Ovis aries: one gene and its partner. The protein of the gene in region 1 interacts with the protein of each later gene in a pairwise test. Links are inferred from orthologs where the notes say so. Each region holds a gene or a part of one and is shown on either strand. Other genes may lie near its edges.

Evidence for each region. The genes of interacting proteins can lie anywhere in the genome.
Region 2: the proteins of LRP6 (region 1) and LRRK2 interact in binary tests that used the Homo sapiens proteins (3 or more experiments, as listed by UniProt). The link is inferred for Ovis aries from reciprocal best matches to the Homo sapiens genes LRP6 and LRRK2.

The regions. Positions count from the first base shown.
Region 1 is NC_056056.1:203,328,864-203,333,500, reverse strand, and holds part of LRP6 (low-density lipoprotein receptor-related protein 6), read right to left. Parts: intron 938-4,637; coding exon 735-937; intron 1-734. UniProt on the Homo sapiens protein: Component of the Wnt-Fzd-LRP5-LRP6 complex that triggers beta-catenin signaling through inducing aggregation of receptor-ligand complexes into ribosome-sized signalosomes.
Region 2 is NC_056056.1:146,885,810-146,890,446, reverse strand, and holds part of LRRK2 (leucine-rich repeat serine/threonine-protein kinase 2), read left to right. Parts: intron 1-257; coding exon 258-445; intron 446-1,307; coding exon 1,308-1,462; intron 1,463-2,517; coding exon 2,518-2,664; intron 2,665-2,800; coding exon 2,801-2,992; intron 2,993-3,649; coding exon 3,650-3,796; intron 3,797-4,637. UniProt on the Homo sapiens protein: Serine/threonine-protein kinase which phosphorylates a broad range of proteins involved in multiple processes such as neuronal plasticity, innate immunity, autophagy, and vesicle trafficking.

The DNA.
Region 1 (4,637 bases):
GATGATAAATAATTATTTATAGTGATCCTGGTGTAATACTGCCTGGACACAAAAAGAAAGCAAATTATGGACAGTGGTGTGTGACTCATGATTAGAATGTAAACACAGATAAGATGTGTTGATAATACTTTCATTCCTATGCCACAGTCACCAAGTAATATTTACCAAAACAAAAACAAAACCAAAAACCATTAGATTAATAACAACATATCTTAGATGCTTTTAATTTTACTGAGATTGTGTTTTATGCTTCCCATTCTCTGAAACTTTTAAATGATAGTTACTAGTAAAAGAACTACTATTTATAGAGTACCTATTGTGTAATAGGTAATGGGCTATGTGCTTTACATTCTTTTCACCTAAAGATTCTTAAGAATCCTAGTGAGTGACAGAGCTGAGATTAGAACCAAGGGTCTGTTTGCTTTCAAAGTTTCCAACACTCCATGTAAACGAAACAAAATATAAAATGGAATATAAATGGATATGGGTGGACTGACAAAGTCATTCTAATATATGAGCAGAAGTTATTTTAATACAATACAATCTTCATTTCAATAGCACTAGCAAACAACTGTTTACTCAAAGATCATTTAGGAGAGAAAAAGTGCTGCCAGGTTCAGAATTCCAGCTTTATACACACACACAAGCAGAGTCATTGCATAAGTAGACTAGGATGGCCAGCTGGTCCAATAACTACACAGAAGAACCAGATTTTGAACTGAGCCCTGGATTACCTGGCTGCCATCTTCTTGTGCTTTTCGGATCATGTTTTGTCTTGAGTCAATCCAATAGAGTTGCTTGTCCAGGGGGTCATAGTCAATGGCCCGGACATTCCGAAGGCTGTGGATAGGAAGGATGATGTCAGGGCTCTGCTGTTCATCAATCACCATGCGGTTGATGGCGCTCTTCTGACTGAAGAGCAGGAAAGTAGTTGGAGCTTAAAGAGAGAAGGAAGCAAATATGAAACAGTTATCCTAAGTCTCAGATCACTCAAAGATTTGATTGGTCTGTTGTCTGTATCTCACAAAAACAGACATGTATGTTGAAGACCTGTATGAGACAAAGCCCTTTGGAATGCCTTCAGAACTCTTAGAGGAAACACTGATCACACTCTGGATACTAAACCAGTTATGAATTTTACGCTATAACACAGCCAACTAGCCAATTTTTCTCTGTCCAATGTCCACAGTGGCATCATCACAGGACACCTGATTTCAATGAAGCATTTGACAAACAAAATTCCCCTGTCTACCAAGTAAATAATCCTAACTCCTCCCTCATCTATTCTTGTGGGTGAAAGAAGTCTGGGTCTCCACAGGTCAAAAAAGAGACTTCAATAGTGGTTTTAGTTTCAGTTCTCACATAATTTAGTCACTTGATCTTAACTACAGCCTTCAACCTCGTGGGGTCGAAATTTACTCAACTAGGTTATGGTTATGCTGTCCTGCTCACTGAGTTGCTGTAAGAATTTTATAACACGAGTAAAAATAAAAAGGTAAGGTATCATGTCAATTGTACAATGTTGTTGTTCTTTAGTCACAAAGTCATGTCTCTTTTACAACCTCAAGGACTGTAGCCCACCAGGCTCCTCTCCATGGGATTCTCCAGGCAAGAATACTGGAGTGGGTTGCAATTTCCTTCTCCAGAGGATCTTCCTCACCCAGGGACTGGACCCACATCTCCAGCACTGGCAGTAGGATTCTTTACTACTGAGCCACCAGGGAAGCCCCAATTGTACAATACCTGAACAAAAAACCTATAAGACATTATATAAATGTCAAGTAAAAATAGCTATTGCTTATCATCAGTAGTGGCAATAATAAATGTGGTGTTAGTACGAATGAAACAAACCCTCATGGGTTGTAGATATATAGGCTTTGTTTTACACTGTGGGGATGTAATGGTTGCAAGGAGAGGGAACCATTAAAAAAAAAAAAAAATTCACACACTAGTTGATGCCTGAAGTCTATGAAACAGGGAAATGCAGCCGAGACAACACTTCCCTGTCCCAGGGACTAGGCCTCTGATTACTATGCAGTCATCTTTAAGGAGGAGAGTATCTAGAAAAGAACACCATCTGACAACGCTACCAAAAACTTCAAAGTCTAACAGTCTTTTTTAAAATCTTCTTTAAAACAAATGTAAAAATTCCCAAATTATACACTCTACTCTTGTTGGTCAGTCATCACCTAAATCCAGCAGAATTTTGTCCTTATCAGGGATATAAACACAAATGGCCAAAACAGAACTCCTTGCTTTATCTCCTCCTAAACCCCATTCTTCACAGTGTTAAACCTACACCCATATGTACATCAGTTTAAATCTTGAAGAAATCACTGCTTCTCACAAAGAAACTTGGTATTCACAACCCCGAAATTCTGCTTTAAGTTACCCACTGGCTCAAAGTCCACACCTAGCTTGGAAGATTTAAAAAATATTTCAGTGACTCCACTGCACTCTCCATTGTGTAGAGTCCAGAGCATACTGATTTAACAACTTTCAGCAATTTTAGTAGAACCAACACCTTAATTAGTAAGAATACATGTCACAACAGAGTAGTTAACAAGTCTCCCATTAAAAAAAAAAAAAAAAAAAGAATTATTTTTTGGCAGTACTACTTCCTTATAAATCAAGAAAATAGGGGAAAAAAAAAAAAAAAAGGTCCTGATAGTAAGCTTCCAACAAAATAGCATATTAAGACATACAATGAAACTCAGAAGAAAGACCCCATAGTTTTAGCTGCCTAATTTTCCTGCCTGGGAAATAATTAATCAAATATATATTGGGCTCCTAGTTATGTTTCACTTTGTATTGTTTTTTTCTTTCTTTGAGTCAAATTTTAACCTTTAGTAAAACATTTAGTAAGCTTTCACGATTAAGTGTTCTAGAAACATAGATGATGACAAAGCCAAATATGGCTCCAAACAAATACTCATTTCAAAAAGTCTATGGATGACATTAATTACAGTTGGCTAAATAGTTCCAGGAGGAAGCTGATATTTTGACTTATTTACAAAAGGGACAAAGAATATGCAGTTCTGTAAGCCTAAACCCATGCTAATTTATGTCACCTCTAACCACCACCCCCTCGTCTCTTGCAGAAGGCTTCAAAACGGTCCTGTCGGGCTGTCTCAGTGTTGCACTCCCACATGCAGAAGCTGGAGGAGAAGGTGTAAGCAGGCAGGAGCTTTTCAGCTCTCCTCTGAAGACACAAGTGTTCGCCTAAAGCTTAAAGAAAGGTACCACTCTGGTATAAGAACATTGTAAGTGACCAGCCCAAGCCCACCACGATGGATTGTGCTATCTCTGAGCTGTGCCAAAGGCCTCAAGCGGACTTAAGTCCAGGCTGCACCTGGGTAGCCAAGTCAAGCACCTGTGCAGCTGCATGTGCCCAGAGGAAACACCTTTTCTCAATGTGCACAAAGATGCCACAAAGGCCAACTGCTTCAGTACTGAACACAGGATTACACAATGTGGCCTCCTGCTTCCTCTCTGACTTAATCCCTTTACACTCTGTTCCAGAGACACTGGCCCCCAGGTGTTTCTCCAACATGCCAGACATGTTCCCCTCTGCTTGACAGGTCTTCTCCCAGGGAGCCAGCAAAGCTCATTTCCTCACCTCCCTCAGTACCTGACATAGTGTCACTTTTATGCCAGGACTTCTCTCGTGATCCTATTTAACATCAAGATCCTCCTACGCACCCTTTCCTGCTCATAATTTTCTCCATAACACTCATCTCCATCTACCTCATGATACAGTTTACTTATTTAGTTCATTATCTATCCTGATGGAACGTAACCTCCACAAGGGCAGGGATTAATGTCTGTTTCATTCAGCAATACATTCTTCATTGGCTCAAATAATGCCCAGTGTGGATTAGCTGTTCAGTAAATATTCACTGAAAGAATACACGAGTAAACAAATGAAGAAAAAGCATGAGATGACATCATTAAGGAGAGCCCTGTAGCCATGATTTTGAAAGAAAACAAAATTTTTTCCAAGAACTGGGGGAAAAAAAGAAACAAGCATTCATTTAGAACCTCCAACATGCCACACATCATACTAGATGTCTTCTAGTCCCCCAAATTATTCCACTTTACAGGTGAGCAAATAGAATAGTTAACTAATTTGTAAAGAAAGGTTAAGAAACTGTTCCCAGGTCACAAAGCTGCTGAATGGAAAAGCACCTGTTTTTCCAAATCCTGTCTTGCTTCTTCATTCTTCTACTGAACAATGATTTCTTGAATGACTATTATTTACTGAAAACTATTTTAGGCACCATAGATATACATCAGTTAAAAACACAGGGAAAAAAAAATTGCTTCCTGGAGTTTACATTTCAATAAACAGACAGTAAGTAATAAACATAATAAAGGTGCTATAGTATATATAAGTAATGAATTACACAGTATACCGGAGAGTGATTAAGAGTCATGGGAAAAAGAATTGTAGATAAGGGGGACTTGGCAACGCGAGACAGGGTGGAAGGAGGACTTGAAACTTTAAATAGGGCAGATTAGGTCTCTCTGGGGAGGTCACGATTAAGTCAAGACATGGAGGTGAAGTATATGCATGCAAATATCTGCAGGAAAACATTCCAAGTAGAGGAGCTACACAGTACCACAGTCCTGAAGCA
Region 2 (4,637 bases), about 56 Mb from region 1:
TGGTTCATTGGTATCAGAGGATCTCCATCGTTTCTGATCTGGATTCACTCACTTATTTTAATAATTTCTGTGTGTAAGTGTGTGTGTGTGAAAGATACTAGGTTTATGTGGCTGCTAGGTAGAGAAATTAGGTTCTGTGTTGTACTTGACAACATTAGAATTGTTTCGATCATTTTTACTGAGCAAAGGAAATTCTTTAAATTCAGAACTTTCCAGCAGATGAATTCTATGATTATGTATACGTTTAAACCTTTCAGATTTTGACAGTGAAAGTGGAAGGCTTTCCAAAACATCCTAAGGGAATTATTTCACGCAGAGATGTGGAAAAATTTCTTTCAAAGAAAAAGAGATTTCCAAAGAACTACATGGCACAGTACTTTAAACTCCTAGAAAAATTCCAGATTGCCTTGCCAATTGGAGAAGAATATTTACTGGTTCCAAGCAGGTAAGCTAAAACTTAAAAATTTAATTACTCTATGGAAATTTACCATATATTCTTTTAGTTGTGAAAGTAACTTTGGTCTATGATGAATGTGCTAATTTTTTCCTTCTTGTGTAAACTTTGTACTGGAGTATAGCATTTTCTTTTGGTGAAGACTACATTTGACATTTTAAAGATGTAAATGATTTTATATATATAATTATTATTTGATTTGACAATGCTCAGTTTATTTAAGAAAGGTTAATAGTGGAGATTAGAGAGTGTTTGTGTTGCTGTGTGTGTATGTATGTTCCTCATATGATATTGAAGGAGTTATTAGGCAGATTCTGGAGAAATGGTGATTTTTCAACAGAGTCTTTAAATAATTTATGACTGTGAATTTTCAGAGGATATGGCCAACACAAGGAGTCCTAAATTCTAGCACTGTGTTGTAGAAATTTTTCTTACTGCCTTATAAAACCTGGGAAATGTTATAAAGTAAATGACATTGAAAAGTACAAATTGCAATGATTGATGGATGGTAACTAATTCTAAACACAGATATACACTTGATTCTAGGATATACATATTTTAAAGTTTTATGTAATCCCTTTACTTATTATACATAACTATAATAATTTATTTATAATGTAAATAGGATTACTGAAAAATCTTTATACATCACTTTATCTGAGCATGATTTGAATTGATTAACCATTAAATTTTGAAGTAGGAAGAGTATGTAGCAAAATAACATTACTAAAAAATAAAGTTGCTTAGAATATTTATCATCATCAATTCATTGATTTCAAGTAGTAAAGCACTCTGGTCAGCATGGTTGGGCGTTTTCTGAAGCTATATAATGATAGTGTGCTTTTATCTTTAGTTTGTCTGACCACAGGCCTGTAATAGAGCTTCCCCATTGTGAGAACTCTGAAATTATCATTCGACTGTATGAAATGCCTTATTTTCCAATGGGCTTTTGGTCAAGATTAATCAATCGGTTGCTTGAAATTTCACCTTACATGCTTTCAGGAAGAGGTATGTATTTAATGAAGAATTAATATTTGGAGAAGATAGTTAGAAAGCATATTAAAATTAATATGTCATTTTCCTAGAGTTTACTGGCTTGTAATGCAGCTGAAAATCAGGAAATAAGCTCAAAAGACCTCAGCATGGCCAATATAAAAATATACACAGATAAATTCATGAAATTTGTTAAGAATAAAATTCCTCAAAGTCCACGTGTACTTATTTTAGGCACATTTACAATGTGTATGAATATCTTGCTTTGCAAGCCAAAGCAGACTAGAAGCAGCAGTTTTAAAAGATGAAATTACAGAGTCACTGGCGTAAAAACACCTATCTCCCTGCACGTACACACAAATACGCATGCACGCGTGGAGAAATTAAAAACTAGAAATGACCACCCCCTCAGTCAGGGAGTTTTGTTTAATAGAGTAACAGGTCCTAACCATTCTCTGTGGGGACTACAATAGCTCTATTCTGCTGCATGGTCCCTGAGAGGTTTACAAAAAAGAATAAAGACTTTATCTTGCTATAATTATAAATGACAATGCTAGATCTTCCTCCTGGAAGAAAGAGAGATATTAGTGCTCCAAGGGGGAAAATATAATTTTTCTGTTTTGTGCTTAAAAGCAGCTTTATGGAGATGGTACTGTATTCTGAAATAAACCTTATCTTGCTTGCAGTTAATCAACATACAGATAGTTACATCACATCAAAGTGTTGATTTTAGCATTACCACCAACCTCTTTTTAAAAATTATGGGAACCTGTTTATGATTCTCTTTTTCATCTATTACATATGTTAAACTGCTTGACACCATCAACCTGAAATCTGTCTTAGGTAATCTACTGGGCATTTGTTTGTTTCATTTCAAAATTGAGGACAAAATATTTAATATTATATTTAACAGATAACATATCATTAACAATTCCAGTACTTTCCTTCAAAACAAATACATCTCTGTTACTGTCACTTGTAATATGTGCAGTGATTTTTTTTTTCCCCTACAGTTTATGGAACAACAAATAATTAATAGCTATATTTGGGTTCTTTTAAATTTCTTTCAGAACGAGCACTTCGCCCAAATAGAATGTACTGGCGACAAGGCATTTACTTGAATTGGTCTCCTGAAGCTTACTGCTTGGTAGGATCTGAAGTTTTAGATCATCACCCAGAGAGTTTCTTAAAAATTACAGTTCCCTCTTGTAGAAAAGGTAAGGAAATTAATTCAAAACGGAATTGTACCACTAAAGAAATCTAAACTTTTAAAAAGTTTCTATAGTTCTTTTCAATTTGTGACAGGATAAGGTTCAGCTAGGATGTTAATCAAGTTTTCTTTGGATTACATAGGCTGTATTCTTTTGGGCCAAGTTGTGGACCACATTGATTCTCTCATGGAAGAGTGGTTTCCTGGATTACTGGAGATTGATATTTGCGGTGAAGGAGAAACTCTGCTGAAGAAATGGGCATTATATAGTTTTAATGATGGTGAAGAGCATCAAAAAATATTGCTTGACAACTTGATGAAGAAAGCAGAAGAAGGTATGTATGTGTTGACGCAACTTACAAATGCTTTTAAGTGATTCTTTCAATATTTGCGAAGTGAGTTTTGAAATAAATGTAAAAATGGATTGCTCTTATTTACAAGGGATAAGTTAGAGGATACTATATTCAATTATAGTTAACAGTTCAGAAAAATATATTTATTGCCAGTAAGATCTTATACTTTAGATTCAGAAAAAATGTTGGTGTGAGAGTTTGAATACTGGCTACTGGGCAATGATATGTCATCTGTGAAGTGAGATTATTAACCAAAACTATGCCATACAATTGTTATGAAGATTAGAATAGATGATACATGGATGTAACTTAGTAATGTCAGCCATATGCTGTGTTCCATGAATGTTGTGAAAGTAAAGAATATATAATTTCCTAGTCATATATCAATAGCCTAGGCAGTTCTGAGTTCTACTTTCTAGTGAGTGAACCTAGGAATGAGTTTTTAAACTTCCAAATAGAGAGTAACTCAACTTTTAAAACATTCTCAAATTTTCTAGAGAAAAATAAGATTGGAAAGTGAACCTAAGAGTGATTGGAACGCATAGACAATATGTGATTATTTCTGTAAATCAAAAGGACAAATTTATGTACAATCTTAAAGGTTTATCTTTAAAAAAAAATGTTTTATGTACTTCTCAGGAGACCTCCTAGTAAATCCAGATCAACCAAGACTCACAATTCCAATATCTCAGATTGCTCCTGATTTGATTTTGGCTGATCTGCCTAGAAATATTATGTTGAATAATGATGAATTGGAATTTGAACAAGCTCCAGAGTTTCTCTTAGGTAACTGTTTTTGTTGGTTTGAGAATAAAAATTAGGGTATGGTTTTATAATCTAGCAAATATTCACATATAATTACATTGTCATAGTTTTTAGTATCTTCATATATTTTTGTAATTTTTTTCTTTGGGATAATATATTTTAAAGTAACGTGTTACAAATCTGGAATTTGCTTTGCTTGCACACATTTGTACTCTAGGTTTCCATCTCTGTGGAAGCACAGGTATTTATGAAACATATCCTTGCATTTGTTTTAATTGTTCAATTGTCAGTGATAGGGAAGGCAGTTAGGAAATTTTCAGAGGAGTAATTCAGCCATTTTCCAGTTGCAAAAAGAATAAATAAAGGAGGAACACCTCTATGTAGTGATAGTGGCAGTTATGTTACTCTATATAACAAGCATAAATTTTCATTAAAAGAGTCACAAAAACCAATTTGGGTTTAAAAATTCAAAAGTATTAGATTGGTAATATACTCAAGTTCTAAACATTCCCAAGAGTCCTTGGGACCTGAGAAGAGTATTGAATTTATTTAATGTAAAGTATTTAAAGACAATTCTGACTTTACTTTGTGGAGTATTTGTTGCTGTTATGAATATTTACATTTAATTTTAATTAAACTTTCACAGAGAGGATGATTAAAATATATGCCAGAATATTAATATTATTAATAAACCAAGTCTAAAATTCAGGATATGACATGTAGGAGTAAATAAACTCCTTGTACCTTTATTTTTTACATTGATTGGGAAATTTAGGATGATTTTAAATACCTTAGAACTCTAGAAGTGAATATATTATTATTACAAGGTTAATGCAAAATGCTGAATTAGCAACACTGAATC